Linked DNA regions of Lepisosteus oculatus. The protein of the gene in region 2 purifies or fractionates together with the protein of the main gene of each other region. This does not show direct contact. Links are inferred from orthologs where the notes say so. Each region holds a gene or a part of one and is shown on either strand. Other genes may lie near its edges. The genes, in order: larp1 and nfx1.

Evidence for each region.
Region 1: the proteins of nfx1 (region 2) and larp1 purify together in Homo sapiens (affinity purification with mass spectrometry, with the first as the bait; 3 studies listed by BioGRID). This does not show direct contact. The link is inferred for Lepisosteus oculatus from reciprocal best matches to the Homo sapiens genes NFX1 and LARP1.

What each region holds. Positions count from the first base shown.
Region 1 is NC_090706.1:40,897,672-40,907,819, reverse strand, and holds the start of larp1 (la-related protein 1), read right to left. Parts: upstream 4,513-10,148; 5' UTR 4,253-4,512; coding exon 3,886-4,252; intron 2,697-3,885; exon of another isoform or gene 2,682-2,696; coding exon of another isoform or gene 2,474-2,681; intron 1-2,473. UniProt on the Homo sapiens protein: RNA-binding protein that regulates the translation of specific target mRNA species downstream of the mTORC1 complex, in function of growth signals and nutrient availability.
Region 2 is NC_090701.1:21,634,523-21,644,517, forward strand, and holds the start of nfx1 (transcriptional repressor NF-X1), read left to right. Parts: upstream 1-5,478; 5' UTR 5,479-5,620; coding exon 5,621-5,639; intron 5,640-6,398; coding exon 6,399-7,322; intron 7,323-7,900; coding exon 7,901-8,062; intron 8,063-8,960; coding exon 8,961-9,038; intron 9,039-9,723; coding exon 9,724-9,829; intron 9,830-9,991; coding exon 9,992-9,995. UniProt on the Homo sapiens protein: Binds to the X-box motif of MHC class II genes and represses their expression. May play an important role in regulating the duration of an inflammatory response by limiting the period in which MHC class II molecules are induced by interferon-gamma.

The DNA.
Region 1 (10,148 bases), on a different chromosome or scaffold from region 2:
AACTACATGCATTTATTCCAATAACAAAGACCTTACTGAAATACAGGCTGGTAATGCAGTGTTCTAGGACAGTTTGGCATAAACTTTAACCCACTACTGTTTTGAAACCAAGTTAACATGTCACAACTATAAATAGCTTCTCCATTGAGGGTGGACATGCTCAGAGGAGAGATTATACCGAGAAGAAATGCTTTAGACAGCTGTCTTCGATAACAGGAGTCTCCTGTCCATGTTTATTTGTTCTGGAGTTTGGGATTTGTTTTATTCTTGAGCCTGTGCATCACTTGCAGTTCTCTGCTAGCAGTTCCTCCTTCTGGGAAGCAGTGCCTTGGAGATTTTAGAGCAACGCTGTGCAGAAGACATTTAGAACTTCACTTCATTAAATCTCCATAATGCAAAACAAGAAGCATGATTTTTCTATTCTGCCCAGGAATTTGATTACATTTTACCTTTTATGACATAGGCCATTTTGCTTTGTAAAAAATGTTTTGTAATACTGATGATCAATATCAATTCTTTCCTCACAGCCCTGTTATCTTGCTTCTAACTCCCTCTTTTGTATTCGAATGAACAGAAGTTAATCGTATACTACAAACAAAACAAGATCTGCACTTGCCTGCTTTGTGTACATTAATTTTTAACGGGCTCATCAAACCCAAAGTGTTCTCCCGGAACACCCCATCAATGAGCAGAGAGAAGGCGAGATGATATTGAGATACGAAACTGTGAAAGAGAACTTGCACAACGTCAGTGTACTCAATAAACCTTGAAACATTAACAGTTATTCTTTAAAGACACCAAACAACCAAAACAGGCTTACATGTATTTCTCTGGCTGAAGCTTTTTATTTGAAGCAACTTAGTTTTGCACTCATTTACGCAGCTGGGTGTTTTCCTGGAACAGTGTGGGTGAGGTACTGTACCCCAGTCAAGGGTACAACAGCGGTGTCTCACCTGGGTCTTGAACCCACAACCTTCCAGTTACAGTCCAGAACCCTGCCCACTGCTCCACACATCTGCCCCATTCCTACTGCAGCACACAACCACGCTGACGCTGGTACGTCTAAACAGGACACTGCATCTGACACTACACACGCCACTACGTTCAGCTTCAAGGACTAAGGAATCATACACTGCAGGGTTTTAAAAGTACATTAAATAACACTTATCTGTCAATATACTTTCAGCATAGTCTTTCAAACTTTCTTACAATAAAACTAGACCAGGCCCATGCTTCTCTACTGTCTGCAAACTGGGTAAACCTGGATTCAGGGGCTAACGAGCGCTGCTCCAGCATCCAGGAAAGCGTGGCAGCGTGTTGCCTGCTGTTGTCACCCAGCATTGCTGCACTGCAGACGAGCCTCTTACTGTCAGCGCACAGGCTGTGCGAGGACTCGGCTTCGGGTTCTTTAAAACTAAGAACAGTCATCACAGGCTTCCACCATCAACAGGCCACGTGCCCTCTACCCCAGCCTTTAGGAACTGGGCATCCCTCCAGTTTCAAGGAGTACCTATGGTGCATCATAAAGGCAAATCTCACCACTTATAGCAACTATTCAGAAACACTCGTCCACTACACACATACAAGGCTCTGTCGAACTCAAAGCAGATGTATGACCTGCCACTGACACAAAAACACCCCCTACACGCATCGAGCAGATCAAATATTACACTTTCAAAGAAATTCTGAAAAATCAAGCTCTCGGTTCTCTTCCAGTCTCTACTTACAAAAGCCAAGGAGAGCCCCCGCACAGCAGTCAGTGAGCAAAAGTCACAAAGCACTGTTTATTGCTCTTGTGTCCATACAGCCTTTTGCTTGGCACACAACACCTGACATTCTCACACGTGTCTCACCTTTCACACAACAGAGGACCGTGACCTTGGATAACACGTTTTAAGATATTAGCCTTAATATTAACCAGGGAGGCAAATGTACTAAAAGTCGGTTTTCATTTCCTTTTTCATTCCCAGGCCTTTGAAAAACCATAGATGTTGTAACCCTGTTACTTTAACCTTTTAAAAGAGAAACAAAAACAATACTGATCCCCAAACCAGCTCTCTCAAATAAGAGGTGTTGTTCACCTGTGGACTTCCCGGTCAAAGTTCACTCAAATTACAGAGTGACTGGATGTTACAGGTCTTAAACTGGGGGAAGAAACTCGTCCCTTTATTTTCGCAAAGAACGAAAAACACTGGAGTTTTCTCCTCTACCTCTACAGTGCAAACAGCTTTATCTCCCTGAGCAAACACGCGTTATTTACTCTACCTCAATGAACTTATTTTTATTTAAAAAAAAACAACTTTTATAACAGACTTGTTGGTGGTGGGGGGGGGACCGAGACACGAAAGCAGCCAGCACGGGCTGTGTGCCTTCCACGGCTAATGACCACGACCCCGGGAGTGAAGTGAAGTGAAGAGCACGGTTCAAAGGAAGCTGCTCTGAAGGCAGTCCGGAACAAACCCGTCCGCCTAACCTGCAGCAGCTGCGCAAGAAGCCACGCTTCCCCTCGCCTCACCACGGCCGGCGGGGGGGGGAGGGGATAACGGCGCTGCTCTCCGTTCAGACAGCTGCTTCGCCGGCCCGTCCCCGCCCCGCCCTGTCAAACTCAAGCGACCCCGGGCCCCACGGAGCCCGAACCGAGCCCCCCCAGGAGACGAGCCCGGCCGCGGCGCAGCGCCCATGAGATCACGTGTTTCCAGAGGAAGACACCACGTTGCCGACGGGCGGGGGGAATTCTGGGTAACGCGGACGAGCCTAGCAACGCTCTGCCTTAGTTTCCAGAGCACCCCGACCCCCACAGCCCCCGGAGAGGGGCACCCCTGCCGCAACACGGCTGGAAACTATCGGGGGATAAAATACAAGTCACCTTTTCCTAGATCTGAGCCTCGAAACACGCTGGTTCCTTCGGGTTTTTTTTTTGCAGGAGGGTTTGGGGAAGGGGGGGTGGGCGAGACTCGTCCCTGTTACAATCACCGCCTTAACTGCGTGGCCAGTGGGGTTGCTCTAAAGTTAAAACAATCGCTTTACCTCCCTGAAATAAAAAAAAATAAAAGACTTTGAAAACAAAACGGTTTTCCTTTCAATTTCGTGCCACCCTCACGTTCTCACACGGGTAAAAACGAACAAAAACCAAAGGAAATGCTACCGCCCAAGCTCTGGGCCATCTGTCTGAAATAGGTATAACAATTAAAAAAAGAGACACGGGGGGACAGCAGCGCCGACTGAGCGATGCCCCCCCATTCCGCTCGTGTACTCGGGGAACCAGGAAAAGCCACGAGTGACTAAAACGTGAACCACATGTAAATCACATGGATTTCCAGCTTTTTTGCCAATAACCCCGCATGTTTCGGATGCTTCAAGAGCCGAGGCAGGGCTATATATATATATAAAGCCAAGCCCGACGCAAAAACCAGCCCTCCCCACAACATATGCTAATCATAGGCGTTGGTGCGGCGCACGGTGTGCCCTCGGTGCGACCAGCCCACTCCCTGGCACACAGCGGAGAGCCGGCCGCCGGCGTGCAAACCCCCCCCAAAACGCATCGCCGCACCGCTGCCAGTCCGCAGGCCCTCGCCGGGGCTCCCTTTGCACGAAATGCGCCCTCCCGGCCGCACGCAGCCCCGAAACACGATCCCGGCCGCCGCAGACGCGACCTCTGCTGCGCCCCGCACCGTCTGCTGGGGCAGGCCAGACCGCACACCCCCCTCTCTCCCCCACAGCGGCTCCGGGGCCTGCACCCAGGGCTGCCCGGGGGGACCTGCGCCCCCTGCGGGCTGGCCTTCGGGGGGAGGGCCCCCGCTGCCATCCGTCCGGGCCAGCTGCACCCCGCCACGGCACTCGAAAGCAACAAGCGAAGCGTTGGAAAAGATGTTAGGAGGTACACACCATGATGTGCTTGTCCATTCACACTGACCACGGTCACCGTGTTCATTTTCTTAGTCCATGGGTTCACCTTGGGAGGGGGCGCCTCAGTGAACTCCTTTTTGGTGCATTTCGGGCCTTCCTCCTCCGGGGTGACCCCGTCTTTCGGGGCAGCCCCGGCTTCCCTGCGCAGGCTCTCCTGCTCCTGCGCGTTGCTCTCGTCCTTCGCCTGCTTCGGGCTCGGCTCCTGAGCGGCCATGCCTGCCGGACCCGGCTCGCCTCGCCTCACGCCGCCGTCCGCCCCGGGCTCCGGGCACTCGCCGCCGTGCCCGTGCTCCTCCGGCTTCAGCAGGGGGTTGCCGGGCAGGAGGGTCTCCACCTGAGTGGCCATTTCCCCCTTCTTCTCGCTACCCCGCAAGCCCTTCTACAACTGGCGAGAGAAAACGCGAACTGTGCGCCCCCGATCCGGCTCGTCTCACTCTTCTCTCCACTCCACCCCTAGACCAAATATCCTTCAGTCTAAGACGCAGAGTGGCCACTTGCGGATTAAAACACAAAATCCCTCCGAGCGCCTGTTTAAAACCCCCGATGTCGCTGGTCTCCCTTACTAGCAGCAATATGGAAGCACACCACGCGATCGACGGCGGCGCGCACGCACGCCAGGGGGAGTGACGACGCAGCCAGGCGCGCGACCCGGAGCCGGGTCGATGACGTCAGCCTCTTAAAGAGGCAGCCCGTTATGAACTGGCTGCCAATCAGTCCTAGTTCGATAAGTCGAAAGCCCACTGTTTCTAAAGCAGTTTGTTTTGTTTTTTCCTTTGCGGTGTGAAACACGCTTGGTGTTCTCGGGCTGTTCAAAACAAAAAAGTCATAGGAACTCTGAAAATGTGCTTTCATACGGTTCCAGATGCAATTGTATTCCTAATGAGTTTAAACACATTTCACATTTTTTTAAATGTCCATTTAAGGGAATGTCCTCCACTAACGGGCTGGAAGAACTCCACCTTGTTAGTTTTGACGCTGCACAGAGGATCAGGTGGAAAAGTGAGAATCTGCCTCTGGATCTGTACTCAGTTTCGCATCTCATCCCCGGGACAGCACCCCAACAGCACAGGGTCCCTGGCCACGATATGGGGGCAGAGCACCTCCTACTGGTCCACCAGCACACCCACCCCGCCAGGACAGATGCAAGCTGGTTTTCCTCACGGGTCTCCGGTCCCTGTGCTGGCCAGGCCCTGACGAGAGCAAAGCAGCGCCTGTCCATCTGCCAGTTTGATCAAATGCGGTGACGCGTGGGACTGGATTTAACCACAGCGTTTTGGTCTAAAACACACATTGCAGCGGCCACAGGATGGGGAGACAGGAGAGGGGGCTGCTGCCAGGGTCCGGTGGGTGTCCAGACATGTTCCATGGGGCCATTATTAATTCTTGCCCTAGCTGCTGTACTGCAGCGTTGATAGTCTGCATGTCAGAAAACCTGCTTAAGACTCCGAGTGCACCGTGCGGTATTTGCAGATGGTCCCTAAGCTGCCCCCGGCCATGCTTGAGGGACACGGGCAGCAGCCTGTGCGGAGTCCAGGAAGCAAGGCTGTCTCCTCTTCCTGCACGCTGCGCACCGCCGCGAGGCGGAGCAGGGAACTGCAGGCGAAGAGGAACTTCCGCTTCCGGTTCCGGGCGACGTCTCCGCCCTCCGGTTCATGTGAGCCAACCACCGCTGTCATTGCACAATGTAAACCCAGTAAATTAATAAGATTCATTTAAAAAGTTTTTAGATTAAATTAGCGCTCTGGTCATCTGCAGGAATGATAATGAATTAGCCGGATTCACAGCAAGCTAAAGGAAACCCCACCGAATTACAGAGGCACAACTACTTAATTTGTTATTTATAATGTTTAATATTAGCTTAAACCACAAATATTAATATGCACCAAGAAAAAAACCCCTCCGGAGTGGAGTGCACGGTAACCTCATCTCATCAGATCCGCGAAAAGCAAAGTTACAGCGGTTCTTCCGTCTCTTTGAATGATACGCCTCCCTGATACCAGAACACATATCTGACCATAAATACCATAAAAAAACATTTCCCCAAGGCACATTCCTGGGGCTCCCGGCATGACAGCGGGAGAAGGGTTTGGAGTCGTGTGTGCAGAGAAGCGGCGGGTCCTCGGCTCGGACATGCCTGTCGGACTCCGTGTTTGTGTCCCGACAGAGAAACGTGCTGAGTCAGCTGCCACTCGCCTGCTGTTTTCATAACGGCTCCGTTATTTATCCTTTTCGGGGCTGTAAACAGTTTTTTTTTTGCAGTGAATAAAGAAAGAGATGTAGGAATACGATGGGCATCGAGTTCTTATATACTTACGGCCGAATTCTCCCATCTGTTTTCCGCTGAGAGGTAAATACATTGGACAGTTGAGCTCATTGAACTGGGAGGGTCTCCCTGTGTCCCAGTGCTGCGACCCTGCAGACAGTCCCCGACCCTGCGGGGTGTGAACCAGCAGCGCTGGAGCCCCCTGCTCATCTGTCCTAAAGGCCAGTGGAGCTCCAGCATGGAAGACACCCCTGATCCATGGGACCTGACACGCCGTCCCACAGGTGAATAAATCTGGTAGGATCGGAGCTGGTGTCAGCACTGGCTGGGTGAGCCCAGGCCCAGTGGAACAATCAGAACCCTCCTTGCTCTCTTCTCCACTCCTCCTACACCCTGCTGTGCGAGCGTGCGGCTCCGAGACAGCGCACTCTCGAGCTGGCTGTGGGCCGCCGGAGCTGGGCGGGGCTGATCGGGGTCAGACGGGCCCTGACCTTTCTGCTCGGGACTGACCCAGCCTCGGCTCAATTCTGGACCTGGGGTGCTGTCTGTGTGGAGTTTGTAGATCAAAAACTACATATTGGTAGTTTAACTGGGTTCTGGGAAACTGTCCCTGGTGTGAGTGTGTGTCTGTGTGTGCCCAGTGATCCATTAACCCATCCATCTACCCAGACATCCCGTCCAGGGTAGAACCCGCCTTGTGCCTGTTGCTTGCCTGAGTGGACTCTGACTGCCCTGTGACTCTGAATTGGATAAAACAGATAGAAAATGGATGGACATTGCTAATGATTGAAAGAATGGTATCACAGAAAAGGAGGCTTTATTAAAACAAAGTGAACAGCTTTTCCTTAGTGCACAGAGCTGATGTGTGTGCAGCACAACACTGAGCACAAAATGGAGCAAACACAAACACGAAGGGACCTTGTAGTCAGGCCTAGCGCTTCATGGAGTGCCAGATTTATTTCCTCAGGTAGCAGGCTTAGCTTATACCACACGTGTGAAAGTGTTGTGGGGCAGTAGGGAAGGAGTTTCCAGCACTCCTGTGGTTTTAACGCGCTCGGGCTCTGTGCTTTGTAAGCGTGAAATAGGCTCAGCTGGAATAGACAGCCTTGCAAGGACACTTTGTCGTAGGCTGAGAGGACGTTCCGTTGTCCGCTTCATCTGTCTCGGTTTTCTGTCCTTCTGCCTCCATGGTGTCCACCCAACTGTTGAAGACGTCCACCTCCACAAGGGAACTGTCCATGGTTCCCTCGAGCTGCTCTTGCAGCTGCCTGTCTACCCTTTCAGCCTCTAACAAGAGACTCCTGTCCCATCCAACAGGCCTGTACACAATGCGCAGTGGAGCTCATGCCTGTGAGCCGCTGTAGCTGCGCCAGATAAGGGGACGAAGATGTCTGTCTCACTGCTGATTACAGCTTTCAGGACGAGCAGGGTGGTGAAAGATAAACGGTGGCTGAACGTAAGCTGTGACCGAACTTAAAAACCACAGACAACTGAATGTGAAAACCAGGTGCGAAATTTTAAAAGGGTATTTTCCAAATCTCCAGCTATAGCACTCCCATTTGGTGGAGAGTTTATTTTAGATCTTGGTCGCCTGATCTACGTGGTCACCTGGTCTCTTGGTCTCATCTCTCAGGGTGCAGTATATTTACACAGCACAGTTAAACACATCAGAGCTTACAGGGGCTGGCCATGCGCACACAGGGGCTGTGACCGAGGGCGAAGCCCACTCTGTCCGACAACAGCTGCGCACCCCCTGCATGTCCGCCCCAGGGTGCTGTTCTTTACCCCCGCGAAGCAATCAGCAGCACAGTGAAGACGCAGGGTGATGCCGACCCAGTCACTGACACACGGGGGAATTCCCTGACCCTTTTCTTCGTCTACCGTGATAGTGCATTTCAAGAAAACAAGAAAACGCGATCCCTACAGGTTGAACAGCTCCGAATGTCCGACGAATTTCCACCATGGCAGCCCCAGCCATTCTGAAATAACTTTGCTCCAAAGCAGACACACGAAGAGGTGCTCATATGCACACAAATGTGCACGAGTACACACACACACAGACACACACACACACACGGCCTTTTCTGTAGCCCCTGTTGTTGCACAGGGGTAAATACTCTGATACCCCGACTAGCTGCAGAATCCCTTTCTTTGTGCACAATGACATCAGTGCCATGTAAAGCTCTTTGGCATTGTCCACCCCGCTGGAGCCCTTTAGTAATGCAATCGCCAGTTGAATAAGTGCAGGAGACAGGGGACAAAACTCGCAGTCAGCAGCTGGTCAGCAGATCCCACACGTGGGATGTGCACAGTAAGCACCAGGCTGCAGCGGAGCCTCGGAGCTGCTGGCCACCCTGACAGAGAGAGACAGAGACCGGAGGGGCGCCTGTTCCGGCGGCTGGGAGTTCAGGAATAACCGCGCAAATACTGGCGGATATGCAGAGCTGTACCACCCAGGCTTTGTCGGCGGCGGTTTCTTTGTTGTTTGCGAAGCACCAGATACCGTCCAGGAAGAAAGCCCCTCCACAGGGTTTCACACAGCTGAGTCCCGACCGGTGAAAAAGGACACATCCGATACAGGGGCCGGTCTCCTGTCCCCCCCCCCCCACAGGCACAGCCACAAGGAGCCTGCCCCTCTCACCTGGGGGTCCCCAGGCCAGCGCCCCCCCTGGTTGCCCCCTCACACTCATATGAATGATTCTGGAGTCAGAGCTACACCAGAGGGGATTCATGGGGAACGAGGGACAAGCACACACTACACTCAGAATCGCAGGCCGATTAAGTGGATCATTAGTTTACTGGCAGTCAATCAAGCTGCTTGGAGCTCCGCTCATTTATAATGCCCACGTTCTTTTCCCAAATTCATACCACCACTTTCCGATGGATGTTGTACAAGACAAGAAACAAATCAGTTAGGCTCAAATCTCCAACGTGCATAAGCACTACACAGACGTAGGCCTGGTTCCCTTTTTGAGTCAACGTGCAGTCTCTGAATGATCCCAGTTCGTTTTACATGCTAGGGGGATAAACACATGGGCTGCCAGTGTCAGCAGCAGCTGAAATGGGCTGTGGGACTTGTATTGTATTAAGATGCATCACTTGGGTAGGTTATTTTTTGGCCCAAGTGGATCAAGCAGTGGAGACTCTTCTGGGAGCAGGCTGGGCTCAATGATCCAGACATTCCCAGTATTCGTCTGGTCACTCCGGCAGCCCCAGAGACCGGGAATCTCCAGGAGGCAGCACGCGGTGGGGTCTGCCCCACTTGTGGTAGGACCAAAGTTTACTACTGCAATACTAGTCCCTGCAATTTCCCAGCTATGCCCCATAATGACTTGTGATGACATCAGCATTGCTCCTCCAATCAGTGCTGAGCCTCCTGTATGTCACTTCGGAGCTTGTAGCTGTGGACGACTGTCTCAGTGGGTGTGCAGGGCAATGCTTGCACTTCCTTCCTTTCATTGTGTACAACATGGGCAACCGCCCTTATTTTATCCCCAAGGATATCAGGGAGTCACCTATGCTGAGTGCATTTAAATCTCAACTCAGAACCATTCTGTTCAGAAAGGCTTTTATGTCATTGGCGTCTGTGTCTGCTGCACTTTCTAAGGACCTTGTAACCACTTGTGTCTCTTATATGTGCTTATGCTACTCTTTAAAGACTGTATCTGAAATGAAGTTTCATCTTATTATTATTACCTGAAAAACCTCCACTTCTGTAAATATGTTATTAGTCCTTTAGCAATGAAGTATTTCCTTTTAGATAAGTGTGGTACAGCTCCCGAATAGCTGCAGTAAAACCCAACAACAGTAACAAGCCAATATTCGACAGCAAGTCGAAGTCGAGTATCTGGAGCTGCCTGGTTTACCCACAACAGCCGGGAAGTGATTCCTGCATTCCAGATCAGCCTTCCTGTATCACACTCACCTACACTGCTGTTCGCTGTGTTTCCGCATGGACCAGATCTTCCCTAAAGGCTGA
Region 2 (9,995 bases):
AAGTAATTTTGTACACCTAAATTAATTTAGATTTGCCACAGCAATGAATACTTATGCAATCATAACTTCAATTTCTGTTACAAATTGATTATCTGTTTACTTCTTCTTTTTGTTGTTTTTTTGCTTTGAACATATGGACTGGCATGTCTAGGACAGGTCAAGATTGTCCTTACTGGGACAGTAGCTGCTGTTTAAAAGTGTCACGATGGCAAGTTATTAAGCATGGCAAAGGTCTGAATACTTGTGCAAGGCACTGTATAAAAATTCCCACATACAGTATATGTGATCAGTAGGAACCAGAACAGTCTGCAATAGAAGCTTCAATTCTACATTTGGCAATTAGGAGGTCAGAGGCGAGGACATTTTTATTGAGCATACTGTACAAGAATTCCTTCATGTGTTCGATACGAAGCATTGACTCTCTTCATGCTTTTAAAGGAGTTTTGCATTCGATCTTTGGGTGAAGTTAGAGATTTTCTGCACAGACAATATTTGCTATACACTACTTAAACGGCTTCCTACATGTTTCACATCTCCCCCATCATTTTCACATCGGACCCTACATTGCAAGGTTCTAAACCTGAGAGTTTAAAGTTCACAGTTAAGAACATTCCAGGAAGCTGAATTGAGGTGATATCCAAAACTACTGACATGTAATGTTACTATGTAGTGGAAAAAATATGGGTTTGTAGAATACTTTTCTCAGGAAAACTGATTATTTCAATTTTTATTGTGAGATAACTATATCAATATGGCTAAAAACCAAGGTAAATATGTCATGCTAATTGGTTTCCTTTATGCTACACTTAATGAACATTTAACATTTAATAAACATGTTTAAGAAAATGGATGAATAAAAAAATATAATTATTGTATCTTTGATATGCTCCCTGGTACATTCTGAAAGATAACATCTTTCCAAAGACTTCTAACTTCCTATTTCTGTCTCATACTATTCTGCTTTATTTCTAAATTCAGATTCCCATAATGCAACAAGGTTTTTAATACAATTGTGGTTTGAGAAGCAGGATTACTGAAATGTTGCATCCAACAAGTAAGTGTTGCAGATACAATTATTTAGTCTGAATTGTACTTGTATTGTATTGTATCCTTCACTGACTGACTTAGAGTTGCTCCTAGAGATTATGATGTAACAGTCAACATCTTTGTTAACTGAAACAGCCTGTTGGCAGCACATGCTATCAAAAAGCTAACCATTTATTCTCCCAATGTTTTGTTGGCACATGTGTGCACTTAACAACCACCCATTTGCTGATACTGGCAATAGCACAGTCCTGCATGTACCATATGTGATCATCTTTTTTATTGTGGCAATTTCCCTTCTTGTACATAATTAGGTACTTCACTGAAGCTACCCAGGTGTAGTAGACAAAGAAGAAATCGTGTTTCTATCAATCCAGATTTATTTTATATACCTTTCAAGGAAAACCACCCTCAGTTCCATGCCTTATGGAATAAATAAGGTAAATTCATGCCACCAAATTAGAGCAATACCTTTTAAGCAGCTGTTCTCTTAGGCCAGCTGGCAAACATTCAGATTGATGAAAACGTGTAATAGCAGCAGATTCTGGGGATTTTAAAAAGGTGATTTGACAATTAAGTCTAGGACCTGATAGGGTATAGCCTTTCCACCACTTTGACTCTTTTTAAGATGACATAAAAGGAAGGGAAATGACACTTTGATTGCTATGTTTCTTTTGTGTATTATGTGTGAATGGGTGAAATGTGCTAGTTTACCCAAAGTAAATCCTTAATGCAATATAAACTTAATTAGTCTGAGCATTTCATATTGAAAACTCTCACTAGACAGAGATATAAAGGATTAGAATTTATTCTAAGAAAATTAACACTATATCTGCATTATTGACCAGGTCAATTAGGATAGGAACAAGCCATCAGTGAGTTCTGTGTTCATGCAAGAGCTACGCTTGGCAAAAACTGTAAGACATACCATTAAGTATCCACAGCCGCATTTGGGTTCTAATTTTAGTGGAGCAGGAAGCAGGAGGATTCTCACAATATAAATTAATCAGATCTAATTCATGCATAAACGGGCAGCTTGTGAATAATGCATTAAATGCCTTTACACATTCCTCTCTAATTGCAAAGCAACTGGAGATAAAATGTTTAGCGTATTTTTGAAATCACTTTTCAAAAGCATAACGTGGGTGTAAAGGGGCTAGAAATAAAAAAAAACAACAACATGAATAAAGGAATTAAACCACAGTTTGCAGAATAAGAAAATTGATTTCTTTATTACCATTTAAAACCAATGGCAGGGATAACAAACGGTCTGCGGGAACTGCGCTCAGTGTTCAATAGTAAAGCTGTAATGTTCCAGAGGGGGTATCGCCCTGGTGTTGCCCTTACATATACAGGCGTGTTTAGATATTCCATGTGAAAGAAATAATGGAGCCAGCTCCTCAAAAGATACACATGGCTGTTTCTTTGTTGGGTTTGGATGGCTAGGAGAAGCGACTTTAAAATGATTCAAGATTGTATCAGATGTCACAGACGGTATTCACACTGCTTGGTACTGGAGCGCATATGGCCACCATTGCAGGTGGTTCCAGCCGGCTTACCAGCGTGGTGACGTCACCGCCCTTCCCTGTGAATAGCAGGGACTGCAGCCGTTGGACTGAAGGGAGATTTCCCATTAGTTCAAGTGGCTGGGTCCTTGTTGAGTGACACCGGAGGCCTGGGTTTGAGTCCCCAGTGGTGGGGGCCTGGCCTGAGGTGGCAGCGGTGAGGGTGCATACCCACATGAACCTGAGAGCACTACAGTACCAAGTCCATTTCTCACGACTGGGTTTTGAAACCTGCAAATAGTATTCAGCAGAAAGTTGAGTAGTATTCAGCAGAAAGTATTGACAGCGGTCCAGACAGGAACACAGGAGTTATTAGATGACCAGCAGCATCCCTTTATCTATAGGCCTCATCTCATCCTCAATTTTTCTGTGTGACCTACATTTAATAAATTTTACACAGTGTGTTTGTTAATCTGATATTTTGGTCCTGCAACATGGTTTTAATTTTTGGAAGCCTTATCACCATCTTGAAAATGTAACTAGCATCTTTTATATTATTACTAGATAATGGTGCCCTCTGGTGCACAGGCCCAATACATACAGCCAAATTGTACATCACCCACTCAGGAGTTCTGACATTCTAAGTTAATCTGCAAAGAATATCATATCATATACATATCATACAGTATAAATACAGAGTCCCTATCAAATGTAGAAATGAAAATCTTAGGGCTTATCTGTTACAGACATTGTGGCTTAATTGTGACTGATATGGCCAGTTTCTCATCTTATGTTGTTAATACATAGGTGTTCAGCTCCACTTGTGTCATGTTTTGGAATAGCCAAACTCTTCTTCCAGCTGATGTCTGAACACACTTAGCTCCTGTGATGTTTGTACCCACCAGCTGAGTCTTAAGAGTGCAATCAGTGTCTGGATAAAAAATACGGTTGTGTCTAAAGTTAGGTTTAGGCTTGTGTGTGGATTCCCTATATGTCTAGAGTTTTTTTAAGCAGGAGGACTAAGAACACAAAATGACATTCCAGCCTCCATACATGACCTAGATTTTTGTCAATGAAATCTCCAAGCAGCATTGCTGTGTTTCTTGGAGAATAATACATGTTGCCCTTTTTTCAGCCATCTTCAAAAATCTTTTTCTTCACCTTAAAAATACAACTGGAATTCTGTTTAGTTTTTAATTTGTGGCCTGTTTAAACACTTTTAAAATTGTAATGATTATACTGACTAACAAATATTACCTAACGTATCCCTATGTCAGTTTATCTGGGCTTTAGAGACTTCAACTATCCCTAGATTAATCATAACCCTTATCAAAATACCATTTCAAAACTGAATTTATCTTTTGTCCAAAATGTTATTTTAAGAAGCAAAATATTACCTAACGTATCCCTATGTCAGTTTATCTGGGCTTTAGAGACTTCAACTATCCCTAGATCAGCTAACTTTAAATCTCTCCCTAATGGAGGTCTACACATAGAAAAGCAGTGTTTTTTTTTCCAAAGCTTTAGGGTTCAATTAAACAAACAATTACATGTGTATCGAGTACATTTGAATAATGGTGGTCTTGGACTTCAGTATACAGGTGTAAGTATCAGTGGATCATTCTTCTAATCCAACCTTGTCTCTGTTATCCTATTCAGAAAGTGAGTTAAATGCTTGCTGTGAACAAATATGAGGGGGAGCGGTACTGTATAATATCACTCTGTAACAATCCAGGCACACCCATTACATCATTCTATGACTTCATCTGAAGCTCTACATCACTTTTAACTGTAACCCAGTCCCAGTCTTTCAAATGCTTCAAACTCAGAACCCAGATGACACACTCCCCAGAAGAGATCTATTTTCTTTGAATATTCCATTCCTGTTCTTACATGAACAGTCCATTCAACCAGAAATTCCTTGATCCATTTGATTATACAGTATACAGTATGCTTTTATTCCTAAATTGTTCAATTTCATTAGAAGTTCCTCTTCTCATTAAAGTGTCATAAGTCTTTATTGATAAAAAACTGCCACCTAAGAAAAGTTTTTTTTTATTCAGCCCTTTAATCTAAAATGTTCTCCTTTTCCCAAACCCACTTTAATGTGAAAAAAATGATGACTTTACAAAAAAAGACCTCCTAACCACAATTTTTCCTATTAACTTGCATGCATTTGTTGCCAATGCAATAGGACAGTTGATTTGACTATAACACACCGATTTCCATACTATATTAAACTGACAAAACGTATATAGTACACCATCTCATCTTGCATGTGAAAACATTTTGTATGATCTTGATCCTTACTAGGAGATGTTTTTAGAAATAATAATTTATAGATCTAAGATATAATTTAGTATTAACTACAACTGTTAACCTTACTTAATAATTTTGTTAATGAGTTAGCTTTTTCTAAATTTGTTTTATCAATATCTAAACCTTTTAGTTAATTTTCTCTTATTCTTAATTTTCTTAATTCGTAATTCAGGAATATTCTTAAATTTACCTACACCATTTATTATCTAAATTTAAACCCCAAAACATCAACCACAGTATTTTCCTGAAGAATCACAATAATTTATTTTCTTTTATGTCTTTTATTGCATGTTTAATAACCCGTTGAGCAAAGGCTTTCTCATTTTTACACTACATAACTCTCTCTAATGTCAGGTTATGCACGTCGCATCCTTTCTTTATTGTCAAAGCACAGACTTCATTCCTTCAGGGTAGAAATCCGTTTCCTGTATGATCGATATAACTGCAGGTTGTGTAACTGCATCACTTACTGCTGCCGCTATCCATATCCACGTCTGTCTTAAACAGAATTACGTTAACACTCCTCGGAAAGAGTCCAAGAAGCCTACAGTATTTAAAAGCTGTCAGAGGCCCCAGTCCTATCAATAAAGTTTAGGTTGATGCAATCACAGTGAGCATGCGCAGAGGTTTGTTGTGTTGCGGGGATAGGAAGTTTGTAGGCCGGGTTCATCTATTATGTAAAACCTCAAGAAAAGAAGACGTTGTTACATATCAGCAGAAAAAAACATACTTTACGCTCCATTGGGCTTTAAATGGCTGAATCTCTAGAAGGTATTTCATTTAAACTTTTTATTAGCTACCATGTTACTCTATGCTAGGTTATTTTTTATAATCAAATTTAGTCTTTACTATATTGGCTTCAGAGCTATCAGTAATGCTTTTGAGGTATTATTGCTACTGCTTATAGTAATAATGTCCGATTTGACATGTAGAACCAAACGGGATGTGTACATGTCGACTTGTTGTCGTGGGACCAAGTCAGCGATGTGACAGATCATGCTGTTGGTCAGCTCACCACATGGTTGCCTGTGTGACCTCGTAAAACACGGTGACAAAACCTTTTTTTCCCCCAGAATAAATTATCTATTAAAATTAATTCAGATTTTTTTGTGTGATTTATTAAACTGCAAGATTCTGAAAAGCCTGCTTCGTTTGTAGATATATTACCTAGTGTCTAAACATTATCATAGCTGGGTCAGAGTCCAGAAACATATTTGGTTCATAGTTACACTGAAAAGTCAAACCTACTAACTTTGTACTGAAGGAAAAAATGACACATTCGTTTTATATAAACGCTGAGAGATGAGGTACCTTATAAATAAACCTTGGAAATCCACGTTTGTGCTCTACACACAATAACGTATATTCCCAATTTTTAAACTAACGTCAGTACTTTTTGCAGACATAACCCTACTGCAGATTATTACAGAAGTACAGAAAATGTTTCTCTCCGTTGTCCCTGTATAAGATTGTGATGTGCTTTTAGAAAAATGCTGATCTGTGCTTAAGTTTCCATTTTTGTTCCCCCAGGGGAACTGGATTTGAATCCAGATGCAGCTGATTTTGTGCCTGAAGAAAGACACAAGCAGAAGTCAAGGAGGGAGAACCCAAAGTCAGAGCACAACAGAAACAGGAGTGGTCACTACGCAGGTCCTCGATCGCAGCATTATAACAGGCCATATCACAGTAACAGGCCTTGGCATGAACATGACTCCCGGAAGAGCCACAGTCCTTCTCAGGACCATGCGGAGCGGGGAGAAGGCAGTAGAGGAGCTAGAAGCCACAGCTTTCAGGCACAGAGATGGCAAAAGCCCGGAAGTACAAGGAATCTTCCAGCAGATAACCCTGACCCCTCTGGGGGCAACAGGACAGAGTCTTCCACTGAAGTGTCTGGAATTGGTGGGTCAAACTGGAAGACGGAGAACCAGAGGGACAATTATTTCTACAATGGCCCTCTTTCCCAAGAGGAGATGAGAGATGTAAGGCCCAAAAAGACAAACAAGTTTGCTGCTGCTGAGCCCAGGAGGGGGGCAACCGAGAGGGGAAGACGGGCTTTTGTCGGGGAGACCCGGACTGCGGAGGACTGGTCCAGCACGGTGTCCACAGATGCTGGTAAAGAAGTTGATGGGAAGGGTCAGAGGACGGGGGAAAGGTATCGGGACCACAGCATGAAGAAGAACTCCCCGAGGCACAGACAAGAGCACGAGGAGGAGACCTTTAGAAGACCAGCCTCCTACAGGAGCCTGGCAGGCAAACCCCACGCGGCTTCCTTCAGCACGTCAGAGGGGTTGAGCGCTTCCCGGTGTCCAGAGGAGCCCAGCTGGAGGAGCGAGAGGGGACACGGCAAGCGTTTTCCACTCCAAGACCGTGGTCCGAAGAAACCTCAAAAGGCGGACAGGAGGCCTGTTTATAAAACGCAGGTGGACATGCCCAAGAGCAAGGAAACGCAGACAGGTGTGCCACTATGGTCATTTGTGTTTATTTCATTTTCCATATCTGATATCTGATAACATGAACTGATAACATGAAAATTAGCCTCTTATCATGAAGTATTTCTCTACATGTGTTTCACTGCCCTGCCAGTGTTTGGTTGGGATACTCGAAGCTACGTATCCATATTGTCAAATGCAGACAACAGTTCTAAAATGAGAAGAAATGCTTTTTTTTTGATTCCATTAAAATGCTAAGCATCTGTTTGCTTACAAAATCAAAAGAGCGGATGGAATAGAGTCTTCCTGACCACTTTCTCTGTGACCCTTAGCATTTTGGAGAATAAAGCGATGCAAATGAATGTGTTCAAAAGTCAGTTTGGGTGTCAGGCAGGTGATGTCTGGAAAGCTACTGCATATGTATTTGAGAGTGATCCCTTTAATAACCCGTATTCATCAGCTGTGGCATTGTCTGGCCCTGATCAGATGACTTCTCAGCATTAGCTCAAAGGAACCGAGTTTGACAGGTGGCGTTACGCAAGTTTTTAAGATGGTATTTGAGTTCTGTGGATCATTGTGCTTTCCCTCTCCCTCTTGGGGCAGGCTGCTTGATCGAACAGCTCACAGAGGAGAAGTACGAATGCATGGTCTGCTGTGAGGTGATCCGGTTGATGGCTCCAGTGTGGAGCTGCCAGAGTTGCTACCACGTCTTCCATCTCAACTGTATTAAAAAGTGGGCCAGGTCCCCAGCCTCTCAGGCAGAGGGTAAGTTTGGTCCTGGGGCTAGGGGACTAATTTTTTGTATCTTCCTGAGTAAAATCAAACCCTGCCTGCTACATTTAAATCACACTGCCTTGGGAAGTGTTGTGCAGATTTCATACAAATATTATTCAGATGGCTTTAAGGAAGGACATCAAATCCCATGACTAAACATTTTAGTAAAACATGATCTCACAATACACCCTCCTGAATGTATTGTATTGATTTATGTGGAGTCATGTTTATTGAAACATTAAATTAAGATCAAATCAATTTAATTAGACGTTAGAATAGCAGATTTTTAAAAGTGTTCTGTGTTTCAATCATGTAAAAACCAAAAAACCACAAATGACAGCCTTTGTAAATTGTATTTTTTCCCCATGGACATTTTCCCATTGATTTCTTAACCTGATTTTCACTGTCTGTGGAGGGTTCTAGATTGGCAGTTTTGAGAACAGTGACAGTGGGCGGGGAATGGTTAGCTAGGATTCAGTCATCTGCCGGGGTCCCAGTCTCTCCATCCGAGAGCATGTACAGTATTTAGCAAGGTCATGTAGAAACGGCCCTACCTGTAGTCTTTCTTCTGTGGGCGTCAGTTGATTGAGGTTGACAGATAAAAAGAAGAGAGTATAGCCGTACGATGATCATACTTTATTTCTCACCAGTTTTGGTTCCGTTTACAATAAGTAACATGATTGGACTTCATAACTTCTTTTTAAAAAAATCAAGATGTGCAATTTATCAAGTAGTTGCAACTTTTTTTGTTTTCCTTTTTTAAACCCACACTAATCAGTGTGCATTATGTGCTTGCCTTCACTGTATTGCATGTGCCATATTTTACTAACATAATTCTCAGTGTACTTAATGATGTGATTGAGTAAACCTTGTGTGGCTCTATTTCCAGATGGGAATGAAGGGTGGAGGTGTCCTGCCTGCCAAAATGTAGCATCTCGTGTACCAAACTCTTACGCCTGCTTTTGTGGTAAGTGAAATTTTCTGTTATCTTCTAAAATACCTTGGAGAACTTCATAAATTACCATTCTACATTGTGCATAATTGTGCATGTTTCTTCAGGATTATTTTTCATGGTAGTGGATGCACAAATTTCTTGTTTTTGTAACTTTTCTTTCCCAAATTGGCCATTGCGTTTTACATGCATTATACTGTTGTTTGATTGTTATTACAGTGGAATTCCACCTTTAAAATAAAAGCTGAAGTGTCAAACGGGGGACAGCGATAGAAGCATTCAGCAACAAGGGTCACTGCCAGAAAGCTGAGGATCACCTGGTGGTCAAAATCTAGACAAATGTCACAAATATTTATTTTTCCATTTTGTTCTGGGGAATTAGGGCCAAAGTCTGAAACTTGCTTTCTGGATTGAACATTAATGAGCCACACCCAGAGAAGGATACACAACTGAAAAAATGTTTTTCTTCTCCTTTTAGCATGGAATAAACCTTTACTTGTTCCTTTGCAGCTTATGCATGCTGACACAGCTACCTGAACTACTTAAAGAGCTTTAGGTTGTAGAACCACTCCTGCATTTTGGGAGATATTGTATTGTAAAGTCGATCAGGAGATGTGTAGAGGATTGTATTGCTCCTTATAATGATTTGTGTTTCATTAACAAAAAAAATAATTTATATGCTTTCAATTTAATTTTTAAGGCAAGGTTAATAACCCTGAGTGGCACAGAAATGAGATTCCACACAGTTGTGGAGAGCTGTGTGGTAAAAAGCGATCTGCTTTGGACTGCCCCCACCCCTGCAACATGTGAGTAACAAAATATATTGTTTCTATGAATTTACAATTGTTAGTTATTTTTTCTGTATACCCCACCATTTTAGAATTGTGAACTGTGCCTTGATGTCATTTCTCACAGCAGTAATTCCTGCTGTTTAATAATGTTTTCAAATGTTGTTTTTTTTTCTACAGTTTG